2 linked regions of the Oryzias latipes genome follow. The protein of the gene in region 1 interacts with the protein of each later gene in a pairwise test. Links are inferred from orthologs where the notes say so. Each region holds a gene or a part of one and is shown on either strand. Other genes may lie near its edges. The genes, in order: zyx and tuft1.

Evidence for each region.
Region 2: the proteins of zyx (region 1) and tuft1 interact in binary tests that used the Homo sapiens proteins (3 or more experiments, as listed by UniProt). The link is inferred for Oryzias latipes from reciprocal best matches to the Homo sapiens genes ZYX and TUFT1.

What each region holds. Positions count from the first base shown.
Region 1 is NC_019874.2:20,179,600-20,189,583, forward strand, and holds the start of zyx (zyxin), read left to right. Parts: upstream 1-3,462; 5' UTR 3,463-3,697; intron 3,698-3,996; exon of another isoform or gene 3,997-4,281; intron 4,282-9,595; 5' UTR 9,596-9,608; coding exon 9,609-9,831; intron 9,832-9,984. UniProt on the Homo sapiens protein: Adhesion plaque protein. Binds alpha-actinin and the CRP protein. Important for targeting TES and ENA/VASP family members to focal adhesions and for the formation of actin-rich structures.
Region 2 is NC_019874.2:18,231,268-18,240,646, reverse strand, and holds the end of tuft1 (tuftelin), read left to right. Parts: intron 1-2,790; coding exon 2,791-2,868; intron 2,869-3,564; coding exon 3,565-3,666; intron 3,667-3,764; coding exon 3,765-3,851; intron 3,852-5,066; coding exon 5,067-5,117; intron 5,118-5,239; coding exon 5,240-5,326; intron 5,327-5,906; coding exon 5,907-6,017; intron 6,018-6,109; coding exon 6,110-6,333; intron 6,334-6,548; coding exon 6,549-6,654; intron 6,655-6,739; coding exon 6,740-6,823; intron 6,824-7,012; coding exon 7,013-7,107; intron 7,108-7,285; coding exon 7,286-7,358; 3' UTR 7,359-8,074; downstream 8,075-9,379. UniProt on the Homo sapiens protein: Involved in the structural organization of the epidermis. Involved in the mineralization and structural organization of enamel.

The sequences.
Region 1 (9,984 bases):
AACGCGGCCCTCTTCATTCTATGCGGTTCTCTTGTGTCCAGGACGTTTCTCCTGTTTCCATCTTCCTTAACAAGCTGTCAGTTTTTTTCAGGATCTTAACCAAATGAAAGTTTTTTATTTTTTCACTTTACCACCCTTCCCTGAATTCCCAAAGTGTCCCAAGCCGAATGCTGATTTGCCGGCTGGTGGAGAAGGTGAGGGAATCTCCAGCTCTCCCAGTCGCCCAGTGCAGCACTGTGATGTGTGTCAGCCTGACACTAACTGGTGAGACCGGCTCATTGCAGCCTTAAGCTCTGGGAGCAAAGTCCTCCCTCCCATGCTAATCTTTGATTTGCACCTAAATGCATAGAGATTTTTTTTTGTGTTTAATACATGAAAATACTAATTCTGTAACACTTTTACATTTTTAAAATGTATTTCAGTCTAATTACTTCCACAGAAAGAACATACATCATCAAAACTTTCAGGAGCGTTTTACTGCTGGATTGTTTGAGACTAAATTTACTTTCTTTGCTCAGCGTAGTCTAAATTTTAATTTCTGATTAAACTTTTGGACCTGCCTGCTATCACTGTGCTTTAGTTTTAGATCCCTTTTTCTCAACTTTACCATTCTTCTGCTTTCTGTTAACCTTCAGTGAGCCTCAACATTTTATTTGTTAACATTTGATTATTTCTCATCAGTGTGCATGTGTACAAGGAAGCTGACCGTTTCTGCATATGTACCGGTAATATATAACTGAATTATTAGATTGATGCTAAAATAAACACATCTGCTTAATGTTAAGGCTTGCAATGTAATATTAATTTCCACTATTTTATGCAATGCAGTATTTCTTTTTTTTACATGTCAAGTCTAGAAGAAAAATTATAAAAACATTTATAGTTTAAAAATGTCTATTTTGAATAAAAACTGTATTACTCAAAATTAGTTACATTTTTTTTAATTTTGACAATATGACAAAAAAGGCTACTTAGGTTTGATATTCATCAATGCAGTCCTGAGCAAAAGCTGTGTAAATAAGCCTTTGTAATGTTATTTTGCGGTTTTTTGTTGATACTTCTTGGATACTGAAGGCCAGTATTCCTTATACTGGCATTGTTTGTTTGTTATGTGTTCATTTGCTATTTTTGCTGAATTGGGAAAACTTAATATTATTAGTTTTAATGGGTCCCCTTACATTTTGAGTTTGAAGTTTAGACGTGACTAAAAAATCTGTACGGCATGAAAGAAATCTGAATTTTTTTTTATTAAGAAAATGATTACATTCATCCACAGAGAAAAGGGGGAAACTGGATGGACTCTCGCTGTTTGGAACTAAAATGATTAGGGAATTAACAATTAAGATTGAGGTGTTATGAGCAGGGCCTGATTTATATGCAGGAGGTGTTGGCCAAGTAGTGGAATAGAGATAGGACTGGAAATAAAAAGTGCAGCGTAAGGAGGAGACAGAGAAAAAAATGAGGTGCTGAAAAAATGCAGCTTTACGGATAGAGGCAGAGAAAAAATTTGGCACATCAGCAGACGCTGAGGGAAGAGAGGTGGGCGCTATTGAGTCCAAGTTCTGGCCGCATTCCAGGCATTCTGCCTAATTCTAAAAGACACCTGTTTTTTTCTTTTTCTTACCTTAAATAAACTCCACACAACCCTTTTCCCAGCTTCATTTACCAATGGCACAACAGTGTTTTGATGTTAGATAAGCACACCCCTGCACAGTTCATGCACATGTCCGTCCCTTGGCTGTCAAGCCTGGTGAATTGGGAGAAATGGCAGAAGAAAAGGCTTTTCTTCAGATTATGTGGTACTGGCATGAGCGATTGCAGCCTCAATATGGATATCCTGCCTTATCCCTCTGGCTCCCCAAAGCTGCTGCTTGGAGTGGAAACTGAGCGCATTTTTGTCTCCCTGGAAATGGGGAGAGAGTGGAAACATTCCTTTGTGAGACAATGAACTATCAAAAACCCTGATAAGCACTCCCCGTAGTTCACAGACGTGACCTGGGCAGCAACAGGTTACACAACAGCTGTTGCAGAGGGCTGTCTGTGTCAGACCTCAACAGGGCAAGCCCATGGTTACACACCCTGAGTGGCATTTAAGCATTGCTTGGCCAAAGAAATCAACTCTTTTTAGTTTGATTGAAATTCCAGAAGGGATTTATACACAAATTACATTATCGTCATTTAAAACGTGTCCTCAATGTTCGGCTCCAATCATCTATTGTAAATGAGTTCCCAGTGGTCTTTTCATTATGGTTATGCCGTTTTAAGGCAAAATCAAATAACCGGTGTCATTTTCCAGGACATAGTTAATCAGAAATTTGCCTGCCTGCATTTCCCATCATCCCTTTGTTTACACTCTCTCCCGCTAACTTACAGCCCCTAATTGGCCCAAGCTAACATTAGTCTTGCAGCAATAATATTGAGCCAAATTGGAGCTGTCCAGCTGTACAGTTTGAACCAGATACCAGCTCAGACGAGAAAAAACAAAGACGTACTTGGATCTAGTCGTCTACAAGTGGATGCATCAGAATGGAGTGCAGCAGGGAGCTTGTGGCCCCACTGTAGCACATATGTCACTGCTACAGTTTTCTTTTTTTGTCTGCTCCTGATTTACAATGACTTGAATAAAGAAATATTCCGAAATCCAACTTTAATCTTAATTTTTTGTTAGATATGTCCTCCATCATCAGAAAAAGTGCAACAAGAACATGTTAAAAACACCAACAACACGATTTTCATTTGAGTGGGTCTTGTTTGAGTCCAGTCTTCAAAGACAAAATATGAATAGAAAGATTCTTTCCAGCTAGGTTAAGGTCATTGCATATATTTCCACAGCTGTTTCCTTCACTTGTGTGGAAGAATAACAATGTCAGAGGTCCAAATATCGTTTTTTTCTCGCAATGCAGACCTGCGTGCATTCACTGATGAAATTTGTTTGACATACATCGTAAATCGACTCAGTCTCTATCTACTTTCTGACGTTTGGTTTTGTCTAAGAAACTGTCTTAACAACCTTCAACTTATCATAACAGTACAATAAAACCTGACCTCTGCATAGAATCGACCTACTTTCAGAAAAACAGTCGACTATCTCACATGGAGAACTCTCCCAGTGAAAAGCAAATAAGGGTTGGGGCTGATCCTGAGCAATATTTTAATCTCTAAACCTCTTGAAATGAGTAAACGTCTAAGTTCTTTCCACGGCTCACGGCGCTTTAACCACTGCACCTCTTTTTGTTTAAACTCCTGACCACTTTTCTGCATCTGATCGGGCCTCTGGCTTCATTATCTCTCCCTCCCTCTGGCTCCCTCATTCCCCCCTGTCTGACCTTACATGGAGAGGCAACAGGGTTGATGTCACCCAATGAAGAATGCCACAAAAATCCAGAGAGAGGAGATCGCAGGAGGAGGAGAAAAGAGGAGGAGGGGTCTGCCTGGACAGTTTAGGATACAGAAAAAGAGAAGGAGGGTGATGTGTCGTAATACTCAAGTCTTGGGCCAAAGTCAAGCGAGAAAGAACTTGTTTGGAAGGATGGAGTCATTCCTTTTCCAGACTTAAAGGCACAAGGGGAGGGTCTTATAGGGGAAGAGAAAAGGAGAAGTTGGTACTACAGAGAACTCTCACTCAGATTAAACCCAGAGGAGGGGGGGAAGGAGAACAAAAGGAAAAGAGGGAACTAATCTGCAGCAGTTTACCAGGGTAAGCAAGCTTTTGTGTGTTTTTGTGACTCAGCACATGAGGAGAGCTGAAGCTGATGACATTCCTCATAGAAATGAGCTTACCTAATAAGGTAAAGCCTTTGCTCTGTCATGAAGGAGCAGGTTTGTGGAATGTTGTCGATTCGTTTAGAAATACTCTTAAATAGAAGGACATCACTCTGTTGCAGTAGTATAAACCTTTTTTTTTAATAATATGTTATTATTTATTGGCACAAATATCCCCCGATCTTAAATGAGTGACAATGCGGGCTGCAGATGACTGCTATGCGGAAGCTCCGACAGGAAGTCCAGCAGAAAACTTCTGTAAGCTAAGCTAGCTGGGTGTTTTTTTTTAATGGCCGATCATATACAGAGGAAATATTAGCGTAGATGGATGCCACTCGGCTAAACATTGACGTGTCCATATGAGGTAATGATCAAGGTGTGGGGGTGTTGGTTCGATTCACCGCAGAAGCCGAGTGACTAAAGCCTTGCACACTACTAGGGGTGTGTGCAAGTGGTCTGACCTAGCCAAACGCTTCTGTTGGATGAATGAGAGGTGTCGTTTTCGTTCGAGGCTCTCAGGTGAGTGTTGATTTTGCCCGTAGATAGATTTCAAAACAAATAAATCTCAGTGTAGTTTAAGGTAAAATTAGCATATTTTTTTAGGGTCACCGGAGTTATTAGGTACAGTGACTGTGCTAGCTAGCCTTTATAGTGAGATGGAACAGTTTATGCCTCTGTGTCTTACATTCTAAAGTCTGTGGCGCCATCAGAGCATAATCATATTGAGGGCCAAATGGGTCCAATAAAAATATGTGGTGTAGTAGTACTAGTTCTTCCTGTGTTGAAATTATCAGTTTAAATTTAGGTACTTGTTGGTACCAAGTACTTTAATATAACAATAAATAGATTTTACATCAATTTTGAGAAATTAACTTGTTTTGCATGATTAAAAACTTTTTTCTAGCTGTTTCAACACCTCGTCAATATCCAACTTATTGAAACAAATAACTATATTTTTAAAAGGCTTTAAATATATCTTACAATTTCCGTTCTCTAAAAAAAACATAAAACAGAAGATTATTTAATGAATTTTGAACAATTTCTTTTCATTCACTTATTTTTTTTTTTTTTAAATATCCACAAAATTATTAGGACTTTGAGTCTTTTTAATTAAACACCAGTCGGTCAAAAGTACTGGCTTCATTTCAAAAGTTAGCAATATATTTTATTTTTACAATTATTGTATTTATTTAAAGATACTCGAATTGAGTATAGTCTTTATTTTGGATCCTTCCTACTTCCTCTTTGGGTTTTGCATAGACAGACTGAACCCATTTATTTTAATTACTGCCCCCTACTGGTGCAGGCTAGAATCTTTTTCGATTAAGCTAGCCCTCTTTGTAGCCACAAACATTAAAAAACCTGTGTTTTTTCATCTGTAAATTTCATTACATAATCTGTTAAATTTGCATTAAATATTACAAGGGTGAGCAAATAAAACAAAGGATTCAGCAGAAGCTCCGGCAGCTTGGTTGTGATGCTGTACTTGTTTCTGCCTGTGGACAGTTACTCAGCTGGAGCTTTAAAGGTTGATTCAAGCTGAGGGCATAGATGAGAAAACCTGTTTTAGATTGGTGTTGGTTATTATTCTAAAAAACCACATGGGACCAGAAGGATGTTTGTCTGCTTATTCACATTCATAAATCCGCTGGGATTACATCTCATGCTGAAGAGTTTTTGCTTCTGCCTGACGTCATGTTCAAGCAAATCTGAGTTTCAGCTTTTCCACAGACAGGGAGGTTTAACGGGGTTTGAAACTTCTAGTAATGTGCTTTAATTTTGTTTTTTATTTGTAGCATCAACATTTCTCCTAATTGTAAGTGAGACTAAACCCCAAGGCTGCAGTGAATAAACTATGTTTAAGAAGAGAATAGTGGGAGACAACTGTAGTCTGAGGTACTAGTGGTGCTTACTTTGTGGTGCTTCTGACATCTTGATGAGTAAAATTAAACACAGCATGACACGAAGAATGAGAGGAATCTTCCCTAATTGTAGCCTCTGTTAGTCAGAGCATTTATTTGGCTCAAAGCCCTTCTTGTCAAATGCTTTTATTATGTCTCTTGCCGTCTTGTGACTTTTCTTTGGCCCACATTACTCCGTGAGAGCGGGCCTGTTGATCCAGGGAGGGGCTTTGAGGTGTCGTCTGATTCAGAATTCGGTTGCTTGTGATTTAAAAATGTGGAAATGCAGCCTGTTGTGTTATTTCTGTTGCTACGGTTGCAAAAGATCTACGTCACTGGCACACAATATGTGTCCAGTGACCTGTGAGAACACACTCGAAAGGGTTGTTTGACACCCCCCTCCCCCCTCCCCTGCATTAGCAACCCCTGACCTAGACACGCTTTCTTTGAAACCGGGTGTGTTATTACCATCAGAACAATGGATGGGCTTCAACAACAACAACACAAATACTGTGAGAAATTTGGTGTTTTGGTTGGTAATTTGATATCTTCCTTTCTAGAAGATTGCTTAAGATCTGCTTGCTTACTGAGCCAATGTGGCAATATTCCTAACAGGGTTTTTGGCGATAGACATTTGATGACACATTTTTACAACATAATGTCTCATTGCTTACTTAAAGGAGGATAAAAATCTGTTTTTTAATCATCTTCATCTGGAAGACAAAAACAAAAAGAGGGCCAAAAATACCCTGGCTTACTTCTCCTTTCATACTTTTGGTGAAAAGTTCAGATATGCCAGAAAAGCTGCTCCTTGGTACCCTTCTGCCCAGCTTCAAAGAAGTCATGCCATTTCTCCCACCAGGGATTTCCCAATCTGTTAATGAGTCCAGCAACCCCGCTGGCCCATCAGTGTAGTTTAGGCCATTTATGTTCCCATCTGTACATACATTTGTGGGATGAAGAAAGTCAAAAGCTGCAGTATCCAGATGGTATGAAAGTTGTCCAGCAAAAACCTGACGCTATTATTGGGCCCAAAAGAACTGCGTGTGATTGGAGCTGGAGCCCTTAAAAAGAAAAGGTACATGAAGTGATTTCCCTTCACAGCTGCAAAGCAGGAAAATGGAATGCGACCTCAGATGATGTCATGCAGTTCAAGTAGTTGCTGAGACTTGACTGAGAGGCTGACGATGGAGATAAAAATCACATTCGTCCGAGCCTCAAGCGATACACGGAATGTCTGGGAATCGTTTGTCGTTGTGGGGGTTCAGAAACGATGGATGAGGGGGAGAGTGGAGATCTGAAAAAGTGATGTCATCTGGTTGTTGAGCCAAACGTGGGCTTTAGCGAGGGGGCTGTGGTCTCAGGTTTCACCGTACCTTCATGTCTGAGGCTGACTGCATCACTGATCTCACCCAGCCAAACCTCTGAGGGCTTTATTAAAGGTCCAGAGGAAGTCTTACAGAACTTACTCACCCTGATGCATTATTTAAAGGACTATTGTGTCAGTCACACAAAGTGGAGTGATGGTGACAGTATAGACTGCTTTCAAGCAGTTTACATCATCCTTGCTAAGCCCCACCTCCTGCTTAATTATTAGAAGTCATTTACTCTGTTAACTCAAGTTTTCTCCATTCACTCTGTGTTTACATTTTCCGTTTTGTGTATACAATAAAAATATTCGCTTCAGCTGAAGCTGCACCATCTGGCCTTTCAAGGTCAAGTTCAAGAACCCGACGTCCCGACAAGGTGAAATTCCTCAGTAATTGTGTTCCTGCGACACAATATTTTTGTTAAGTGTGTAGCTCTGTATAAAACAAAAAAACCAAGCACATTTCTTATTCCTCTCCTCTGTTTCACCCCAGTATTGCACTGTGAAGTAGTAAGGGAGTCAAAATGGGTTTTAATGATTGATGACACAATCCAGGGCAGTGAGAAGGCCATGGTTCCAATCACCTTTCTGTGTGGAGTTTGGATGTTGTGCATGCAAAGGTTTTCTCCAGACACTCCAGCTTCCTCCCACTGTTCAAAGACGTGCTTCATAACATTGGAGTTGATTGGAGTTGCTGGGATAGGCTCCAGTAACCCCATGACCCGAAAAAGGGATTCAGTTGGTTCAGTTGATGGGTGTCTGGATTACATGATCCTGACATGGTAGAAGTGAAAAACTGACACTGTTTTTGTTTTTAGTGTTTACATTAAGACTTTTACTGGTTTTCCCCCCTGTGAAGTTTAGCACATCTGAATTAAGACTCATTAAAGATCCACACTTGTTAGTCCTAATACCAATAGGCAGCCTTGTTTTCTCATTGATGAAGTGCAGATGCCCATTAGTCTCTTCTGCAAGTCTGCTCTGATTTTATTATTTTTGGAATCACGAGTTGCAGCCTCTAATTTTCAATTTTTACTTTCATTAGAACAGCAACAACACACTTGTTGCACATCTTACACTTTAGTCTGATTCTCAAATAAATCCAGCATGTTTTTTTGGCCTTTTCTTAGTCATGTGGTTGAATCTTTTAATCAACATAATTTTTGCTTACCTAGGGTAAGGGGGTATATAATTCCTGCATAATTAGACTTTAGTTTATGGTGTAAAAGAGTCATCCTAGCATTAACAGCAGAGATGCTCTTTGCAAGTTCAACTCGGTCAATATGTGTCGTGGAATTATAGCAAAAAAATAAATAGAATTCTTAGGAATTCTAACCTGTTTCTATGAGATTCTGCCTTGTGACAAGATAAAATGTCAGCTTTTGTCTTTGTGAAAGTCACAGCAGTTCTGTTCTGTGTGGGGCTCTATTGTGTCTATAGTTCCCATTTCAGACTGGCTTGTGTGACTCTTAGTCACTTGCGTGACTCAGACTGGTTCTTCTGTTTTCATAAATCAGCTGATGCCTCGGCATCAGTAGCAAACGCACAGCCTCAGTGCTGAACCTCAGGTCTTAAATAAATGTCACGACATAGAAATAATAATAATTGCATGTTTCCTGATGACTTCACCCTGCTTAATAGTTTCCAGATGCCGCTCGCACTGTATCGTATCACAACTACATGCCAGAGTCTATGACTCTCTAAACCAACTTGATTTACTTCCTTCTACAATTTAGATTTCTGTTTTAATGTGTAACCATTTCAAAGCTACAAAGGCCCTGCTTTTCATTTCCATGTGTGTGTCAGGAAAGGCGATGCTTGTATGATTTTACAGATCTGACAGAAGATTAAAGCAGCAGTAATTGTGTTTTTGATTGAAGCCTCAAAGGCTCATTGGCTGTGATCTAAAAGCAAACAAAAAGAAAACTTAATGTGGAAAAGATTTCCATATTAAAAGTTTTCAAAATGCAATAAAAACAATAGGTTGCTAATTTTTTCACTCTTTTGCTAACTTTGCTGTCTGTGCGTCCCTTTATTATGTTGTGAAGAACTTATTCCAAACCGTGTGTTGTCATAAGCTTATGTTTTACAACTTCTGCTAATTCCTTTTTTTATTCTAAAAAGTGTTTAATTGCAAGGTTAGCATTAGCATAACAAACGTAGCAACCATTGAGGCTAATCTTGAAAGCTCACCAAAATAAAAGCCCAAATGAACCAAAATGTCATTGAGATGTCAAGAATCTGTAAATGTATATAGTGCAACAACTGATGTGTAGCTGTAAAAATGTACTTCTTGTGTTTTATAATACCTTTTTGTTTGTAAAAGACTTTCTGTTTTAAGTTTGCAACATTGCTGAGTCAAATGCTTAGCTGATGCGTCCGTTCCACCATTTCAAGTAAAAAATCCCAGCAACCAAACACAGCAAAGGAATGGAAGCCTTTGATTTCTGCCTGCCGATGAAGGCTACTTTCAGATTTAGGGTGTGGAGAAAGATTGGTTTGAGCTCCGCAGCTGCAAAATGTTGATTTTTCTTTTTCTTTTTTTTTTGTATTTCTTTTCTAGATAAGCAAACAAAATGGAGGAATCCAGCAGTAACAAGCCATTAGTGGTGACTTCGTCTTTGAACTTCAAAGTCACCACTCCATCCTTCTACAACCAGCCAAAGAAGTTTGCATCGGTGGCACCGCCGCGGCCCAAAAGTCAGACGCCTCCCTCGGCGCCATCACCCACGCCACTCGGCACAGCAGTTATTGGCAGAGTGGGGGACCTGCCTCCACCTCCATCTTCACTCTGTGATGGTATTAACACCGTTTTAAATTGATGCAATAAGCCATTTTTGGTTAGTTTGGCTATCAAAATGGCACCTTATTTTTTCCCAACTTGCTTTTTTTTTTGGAAACCGTAAAAAAAATAAAGCTTAACATTTCAGAGAAAAACAAAACTAAAAGGAA
Region 2 (9,379 bases), about 1.9 Mb from region 1:
TGCTGACCTCATTGAGCAGAAGGGAGATGGCTTTTTCAACAGAAAGGCCGGTAATGACTGTTTTAGTTTTGCTGTTAATCTGATATCTCCTGATAAGTGAGTCTTAAACTGAATTTATTTGGAAATGGTGTTGTGTGATGTGGTCAGGAGGTTTGGCACATCCCGTTTAACAAATAAATGCGGTTTTAACGTGGGAACCTGAAATGAAAAACCTGAAATCGCACTGTAGGCGCTGCAGCAGCCGAGCTGTTCCACGCACCCGTCATCCGAGAGCCACAGTGCCCGAGGTTTGTTGGTCAGAAGTCAAGCATGACATGTGTGCAGTGTGAGAATGACAAAGCAGGAGACAACATTATTATTATTATTATTATTATTTTAACAGATGATATGTGCACAGAAGCTCGAGCGGAATCCGGTGTGCAGGTGCGTCACCTGCAGGCGCAAAGACATCTTTTATTAATCTAGGCTCTCACGGCTCAGGACTCCACAGGAGCTCAGATCACAGCAAATTCAAAAACTTCTCTTTATTGATTTCTTTTCACCCAGTAGCAACTCGGCTCTCAGCATATTTCTGGAAAGATGATTTACAGTCAGAAACAAAAGCGTCCTCACATCCTTTCAGGCTGTCCGTACAGCCCGATCTCTGTGTCCATTGTGGTGCACCCAGCTGTGTGGACTCTGTGTGTGAGCTCGGTTTCATGTTTCTGCCGTCAGGTAGACTGTAATCTGTACCTCGGGTCACCGTGTGGTTGTTTTTCTGCCTTGTGTACCTGTGCATGTGCGCACGTGAACATCCTGACCTTTTGTCTGCCTTCCCAGGGGTTAGTGTTTCACAGATTGTGTTTGATGATGGGATAGTGAGCATTTTTGGATGTGAAAGAGAAAGCAGACGGTGAGGCTGGAGCGTAAACATTTTGGAGTCTAGATTAGGAGAAACCCTGTTTATGTGTGAGAGTCCGGAAAGGTTTTTACAATGAGAAATTCCTTCTCAACAACGCCCCCGCTCCCACCCACTGTTCCTGTCCCAACGGTGGTGTCCTGTTAACCCGAAAGCACTTTATTTAAGAGAAACTTCTCCTTTTGTGTCTCTCCGCTCTGTTTGTTGAACTTGGACTAAGTCTCATCTAGGAGGTTGGTTCTTCATTTGATCCTGTCCTTTCCAAGTCCGTCTGCCTCTCTCTGCTTTTTGCTTTCATCTCTTCAGTTCCGGCACAGATAACAGAGGATCTCGTGCTTCAGCTTCCCTTTAAGGCTGGCTTCATTTCCGCCCTGCCAGACTAAATTGTTTTTCTGACCAACAGTTTCACAGGTTTAAACTACTGGTACATATTTTTTTCCATTTCCCCCAACAATTTCTAAAAATATACATCATTTAAGACCAAAGAAGAGTCACCAGTTCTCATAATTTGAATTTTAAATAGATGTAAACTGGTCATACAGTAACTAGTTAAACTAAATGGGAGCAACAGTTGAGCTAAAACTGACAAATTAAAGCCCAAATCTCCAACAAAACACTATCTTCTGTTGTGGTAAATAAAGCTTCGACAGATAAAGGGGTTTGAGGGAACAGCTAAGTGTCAGTTAAACAGATGAAGTTTCATTTCTTCCCACATAAGGCTGTTGTGACTGAACTGAGATAAGGGGTCATTATGAAAGTGTGGGAAAGCCTGGAGGAACCCACTTTTATCACAGGACAACTGTGAGAAATGAGATGTTTGCCATGTATTATGCTGTGCGTGAAGCGTCTCCTCATATGACGCTCCTTATATGATCAAGTTTGAGGCATTGTGTTAAATGAGCGTAGATTTGATACGCCGCAGGTCAGAAAAAAGAAAAGTGGAAGTTATTTATTAACGGATAAAGAAGGAAAGGCATTCCTTACTGTTCCTAGCCGACTCTTTCTCAACAAAAAATCAGCGTTTGTTCTTTATCAAAGTTTTAACTAGCTAGTTATAATAAATGACTGATTAGTCTGAGCATGTGTGTCTGTGTGTGTGTGTGTGTGTCTGACAAACATTTGTATGTAGTTTCAGTGCTGACATAGGGAGGAGACTAGATCTATTCGGGAGAAAATAAACACAAGTTATGTTAACTGCAATGAGTTATGCAATGTTTCCCACCTCCTCCCCCCTTTCTTCCGCATACTTACCCCTGACACAGTTGGGGGGCTACTGTGAGCTGGAGGACCCACACCCAGTGGCATCCTGCTTTCAACCTTTAACTATTAAAGGGGCTGTTTTGAATGACTGCAGTCAACTGTCTAAGAAAGTTAGGATGGAATAAAAGTGTTTTATATTGACCCAATACTGTTTCTTTTTTGTTTTGTTTTTTTGGTGGGAAAAGCATTAGTTGTGAGGCTTAATGTTGATTTTTCACCTTAAACTGAATCTGCTGTCTTTCATCGTGACAGTTTATGGCGACTGTGTGGATTTGCTGCCATGGAAATATTTTCTCTTACTCAACAGAGGACCTTCTGCCCACTTTCCCAGAAAATCCAGCCTCTCGCTACGATTGGCTGTGAGCATCTGGAGGGCTTCTGCCTAAATCCCCCTGACGTCTACAGCAAACAGTTGAAATCAGAGTCTGTCTGCTGTAGCGAAAAAACTTTTGCCTATAGTGCGAGTCTCTCGCAGGGTACCGCCCCCCCCGTCTCTCCTCCCGGGTCCTCGGCGAGTGTGACTCAGTCTGCCCTCCTCTTTTTCCTTCTCCTCCTCAAAATAGTCCCTGAGCAGGCTCTCCATCACATAACGGCCTCTTTGAGCGCTCACTTCATCTCCGTCTGACTTTCAGGAGGGGTGCAGGCGACTGCGGCTCACACTCCACGACCAGAGCGAGGCGGCTCGGAGCTCGGAGCAGCACCGGGACAAGGTAAGAGGTCCTCTGAGGGAAACCAGGCTGACGTTTTGGATGGAACTTTTCCTTTGACTTTTGTTTATCCGAGTTGGAAAAAAAGGACCAACTTTCTTTAGCCCTCTGAATCCTAATTAGTTCCATGACGTTTATCATAGACAGAGCTCCCAGCATTCCTGCACACTCACTTAGATATCCTCTGCTGGAGCTGCCATCTGCTTCTCGCTGTTGTGGTTACCACACACTTAAAACTTCTAAAGACCTTCATTGTTCCACCAAGACCAGTGGGACACACAGAATGGAGGCGTTGCGTAATCCCTCCTCCCCTCTTCTTCTCCTTCTGCATTTGCTTCTGCCAAGTCTGTCCACCCTTCCAAAAAAAAAGCACCAAAAGTTTATTGGTCAGTTTCCATGGCGATTTGGTTGTATCTTTCTTGGCCTCCTGCTGATCATGGCTCTCAGTCTGTCACATGAGTACAGGGTAAATGTGCTCGTAAGAAGACTGCATGTTCCCTGTTCTGACGTTCCAGCGTTTCATTTGCGTCAGCGCTGAAGACATTCCAGTCAGATTTTACGAGGATCATAAACAGATGTTCTGCTGGCTGCTGTGTTACAACACTGATCAGAAACGACTCCCCTAATATTTTCCCTCGGGGGTACATTTGCGTACGATCGCTGGAAAATGTTTTTCACTTCCTGCTTTCTGGTCTGCAGCCAGTCGGGCGAGCTTTTGCAGTGGTGCAGCCAGCCAGTGAGCGGCCGACTCTGAGCGCAGAGCCTGTGAAGTCCACAGAGGAGCAGGTGGAGACCATAAAGGTGGGTGTGACTGTTTCTGTAATGGCAACCTCCTTTTTTTTTTTTTTGTATTTGTCTGCTCAACAGGTGTGCATTCCTGATGTTCTTCCTTGTTCCAGGTGTATCTGGAGGCTCGCAGACAAGAGCAGCAGAACCAACAGCAGAACCTGAAGATGCTGTCAGACGAAGTCTCACAGATACAGGAGGTCAGTTTGGATATCATCTGAAGCAGATGCATATGTTTACATGTTTGTTTATGTGATTGAGTTGTATGGGGTCTAATGAGAATCAGTTTAAAGTGAAGGGAAAATCAGATGGTAAATTTGAAATAAAAAAATGATTTGAACATTTGAAAACAGGTTTTAAACTTAAAAGTACACATCATAAACTTGAAGGAAATATTAAAAAATTCAATTGTAAATTTGAGAAATATATATTTTAAATGAGAAAAAATGTAAAACTTGAAATAAATAAATAAATCTTAATTTTACATGGGGGTGGGGCTTCGAGCCCATTTGTTACGGGGACATGATTGGCATCAGGTGATAGAGGTTATGGGGACATCATTTCTGCCCCAAAAAAGTGTTTGTTGTTTGAGGCTCCTGTGTCATCTCTCCTTTTTAAATTCAAGTTTCCAATGTACATGTTTTTTTCCCTATATTAAATATTTCTTTGAAGTTTAAAATATGTTTTTTCAAATTTACAATTTTATTTTTCAAAACTTCAATATTTTTCACGTTTTCTATATTTTTTTAAGTTTCAAATATATTTGTTTCAAATTTGCTAGTTTATCTGTTTTTTTATATACAATATTTTCTTCATGTTTGCAATGTGTTCCATTTTTTTAATTTACAATCTGATTTTTCCGCTTCCCTTAAGATGATCCTGAAAACTTCAGTTTGTCTTTACAAGATTAAAACCCTTGGAACTATTTATGAAAACTAACTTGATACAATTTTCTACTTAAATTCCCCAAAGAATAAAACTTTTACTATTCAAGCCTCTTAAATGATAGCCCAAAGTTAAAAGTTATTTTTCATAAATAAAAAACAACATTAGCTATAATAAGATGCTAGAAAAGCTTGAAGTCTGACCTGGAAATGGTTTGAAAATGTATTTTCATTAGATTTTGTTCTAAAATGGGATTTATTTGGCAAAAGATCTTGAACCTAGAAAGTTTAACCTATTAAAATGAACTTTAACACATATTTAGTCTGTAATAAATACCTCTGAAATGACGGCATAAACACATTGTTGCTGACTCTGAGAAATTGAAGGCGGGGTGTGGTTTTAAGGGTTAATTGCTATTATTACTGTGTCACCTCAGTAGTTCATCATGAAAAGGCCACATTCAAAATCCAAAACACCCAAACCTCTCCTCTTAATGTTATTAACGGACAGCATTCCTTTCTTTCTTGCAGGTGAGGTATTGCCTGAAAACCCTGAGGGAGCAGATGGCAGCTAAAAGCAAGGTAGAAAAACTCATTTGTTCTCTTCTTTTTTTCATTGTTAGCGCCACATCCTCTCTGCTTGTAGTTTCCAGACTTTCTGGTCTCCATCATTCCATGCTAACTTCCTCCTTTTCTCTTTCCAGCCGCACACAAACGGGTGGAAGGTCAGCATTCCTTTCAGAAAGAGCTCCTCGTCCGTCCCCAAAGAATCGGCCAGAGCCAACACGCAGGTCAGCACTGAGAATCTGAAACACGATTGTGTTTCTTCTAAATGTCTGAGCCTTTTTGGTTAGTGATGTAGTTGACAGAAACGCAGAAAAAATCCCTTGTAAACTCAAACAAGGTTATGTGGGAAAATAAAGAGACTTTAATAGAATGAAAGGATGAAATGCCCCTCCCAGGATGCATAAAAATGCATAGAGGAGCTATTCCAACACATTGGGTTTCCTTCCCTGCTTTTTTTGTTGGCTTTCCTCTTCAAATCCCGTAATATTTTTGTTGTCGTCCTCTCGTAACACACGTCAGCAAAAACAACACAGTTGTGTATGTTTGCTTACTTGCTTACAGCACTTGTGAGACACTTGTGGTTGTAGTGGTGACTCACGGTGCAGCTCGCCTGCATACCAGAGGTGTTGCAGAAAAAGGAGGGAGTCTCTGGTCAACAGCCAACTTTTCCAGTGACGCACACTAACACGCCTGTTTTCGTTATGACAGTGAAACCCACAGAGCCGAGTGTTGCATGGATTTTCATTACCTCATAGTAAAATATTTGGATTATGTGGTCTTGACGATTCCTTCCGAACGTTGCAGGATGTAGACGACGAAGCGGAGAGAGACAACCTGAGAGAGGTCAGCAAGCGCTTATATGCTCAGCTGCAGGATGCAGAGAAAAAACATCTGGAGGAGAAAGAGAAACTCCAGGTGAGGCATGGGTTGTATTCTGCATTCCACTCATCATTTTACAGTTAAACCAAACCAAAGGCCACATTGAAACTGAACTGCGTCTGTTCCAGGCTGAGGGCTACCAGCTTAAAAAACGTCTCAGTGAGCAGGAGAAGAAGTTGAGGAGTGCAGAGGAAGCAGGCGATCAGAAGGACTTGCGCATCGAAGAGCTCCAGAGGCTTCTGGGAGGAATGGAGCAGGAGAGCGCCACCCTCAGGGAGGAATTCCAACGCCGTGAGAACGAACTGAAGGAGCTGCGGAGGATCAGAGAAGATGGCCACAAAGGGGAGCAAAGGTTAGCGTCAAATATCACATTAAAGACCGTCCGTCTATCTTTGGAACTATTTTAAAAGTGTTCCCAGTGTTCCCTTTTAATTATAATGAAAAATATAATTTCGCTAAAATAAAATAAAAAACATGTTAAAACCAACAAAAACACAATTTTCATTGGAGTGGGTCTTTATAGTGCTGCAACTCAAAGTGCTGCAACTCTCTGGGTGTTCTTCTTAGGTCTGAACAGTTGGAGAAAGAGGTCGCTATTCTCAAAGAAAAGATCCACCATCTGGATGATATGCTGAAAAGCCAACAGAGGAAAGTCAGACACATGATTGAACAGGTGAGACGCACATGTGTGAGAATCTAGAACCTCATCTCCATGCTCATATTTTCACAAGGCTTACTCTGTGTTTGTCTGTCTTCAGCTCCAGAACTCGCGCATGGTGCTTCAGGAGCGGGACCGCGTGATCAAAGACTTGGAGGAGAAAGTGGCGTTTTTGGAAGCCGAGGTGAGAACTGCACTCTATTTCCTTTCCTCAAAATGTCTCAGGAACTTTGAAAAAGCAGACGCTTTTTAAAAGAAAAATCAGCAAAAGCAGCTTTGTTTGGCCGGATCTTTGCAAAGATTGTGTTGTTCCTGAAATTAATTCTGCCTTTTTAATGTTAATTTAATTCTTTAAATCATCTTGAATTCTCAGAATCGAGAAATGCATGACCAGGTGGACTACTTTCTGGGAGGACAAAGGCCAAAATCCTACCATTCATCGGAGCGCAACCCCCAGATTGTTTACAGGTAGCCAGTTTTGCCTTCACTCCAACATTTCCACTGCAAATGTTGCAAAATACAGCTTGCAAAAATGTCATTAATTGTTTTTTGTAAATGGCTAAAATTAATTTTTGGTTAAAAAAAAAGATCTTGCGGTAATTTCTGACATATTTTATACTTCAAAGTGTCTTTGTTTTTCCAACAGTAAGCCACTGAAGCTGTCCACCTCCTCCAACAAACCGCTCCCTTTCATCAAAGTCATCGAGATCAAGTCATGAAGGATGGAAAGAAAAGAGGAGAAGGACAGAGGAGCACTTACACACCACCTGACTGCAGAATTTAGACAGCAGCTCTGCTGACAACAGACTGACCTATAAGGAGATCAGAGCTGAGCCTTCCAATACTGCAGCTGCAACTTCACTAACTTTCAATTTTCAATTGACCTCCTTTTCCTTGCTCTGGTTTGGTGACCCGTTTAGCATTTATGATGTCGTATGAAAACTGCATCTTTATCGTTTTACAAGTTCACAGCCTCATAAAGTAATGTAGCATCAATGTAATGAAGATGAAGTGGTGTCATGACAACAAAACATGCTAACTGGTCCTGAATTTTGTGTTTTAATAGTTACTCACCCATGACTGCAGTTGTTGTGCCTATGATATTGTGCTTTGAAAAGTAGCTGTTGACTATATTAAAAACTATTTGGATTTTGTTTCATTAGTGATTGAACTAAAAAAAAGGCACTTTAGACACTCAAATGAAAGATAGTGCATTTGTGTTTTAGCCTTCTCAGCACCTCTAGACTTCAATTCCCCATCATTTTGCTTTTGTACAGATGTTTTGTTGTTTGTGATGCGGTGTTTTAATTTTTTAACTTCCCTGTGTTTTATTTATTTATTTTAATAACCTGTCAACTGTTTGATAGAGACGCTTGTAAAAAGGCTAATCTGTAATATGCGTTTGTGCTTTTCTGAATAAAAGGCTTTGAATTAACGTGGCTCTATGAGACTTTGCTTAACCCCATTGATGCAAATATGCATCAAACCACATCTGCTTTAACCCTTGTGCTATCTTAGATGACCCCACCCTTACTATGACGTGTTATTCCTACCATGATAAAGGTGGAAAGATTTCATGTAATCCATAGACACCAATGAAGATCACAAATCATTGAAGAAAAAAGGTTCAGAGCACTATCTAGTAGACCCACTAGATAGTGCTCTGAACCTTTTTTCTTCATTTAGACCCAAATGACCCAACTCCCAACGTTAAAGTGCATAGGATAGCACAAGGGTCCATGCAACATCTACTTGAAAGCAAAAACAATACTGATTTAATTTTTAATAGCTGGGAAATATTTTAGTTGTCATGGGGTTAAAAGCTTGAAAATGAGGACCTCTCCTGGGCCTAACTGGTACTACAAGTGTACTCATAAGCAGCATCATATCACACAATGAACCATTACATTATATTTTAACCTTTCTGCTATCCTTATATCCTTTAACATTGGGAGTTGGGTCATCTAGACCCACTAGACCAGGGGTGGGCAATTCCAGGCCTCGAGGGCCGGTGTGTCTGCATGATTTCCAGATAGTCTTGCCCTACTCATGGCTGATTACCTGGTTCAGGTGTGTCCAGCCAATTAGAACGTGCCAGAGCAGGGTATGCTGGAAAACATGCAGGAATGCGGCCCTCAGTGCCCACCTCTGCACTAGCCAGTGCGCTGAACCTTTTTTCTTCAATGATTTGTGATCTTCACTGGTGTCCATGGATTACATGAAATCTTTCCACCTTTATCATGCTAGGGAGAACACGTCAATGTAAGGGTGGGGTCATCTAAGATAGCACAAGGGTTAATGAGCTATACTAATGAGTAAACACAAAAACACTTTTACAACTAGAAAAGTACCAAAAAGCATATTGAGTATATTCTTTATTATACTGATCAGGTGCATAAAAACACTATAGGCAGTTTTTGTGAATGCAAAAGCTTTTGCTTATGTTTTGACATGACAATTTTAATAAGAAACACATTAAAGAAAATGCTAAATGTCATATATGAACATGTATCAAACACAACCAATAGAATACCCTTAATAAAATAAAATAAACTCACCTGAGGCCACACCTCAAACCTAAGAGCACGTTCATGAACTAAAATACTCATCGGTTAAAGTTACATTGCACTAAAGTAACAAATACACATGGAACTAATTAAAATAAAATAAAATCACCAGTTCCTGAAAATAATTAGAGCTTTTGTAACAGAAGCACCCAAATTTATCATAAAAAATGTAC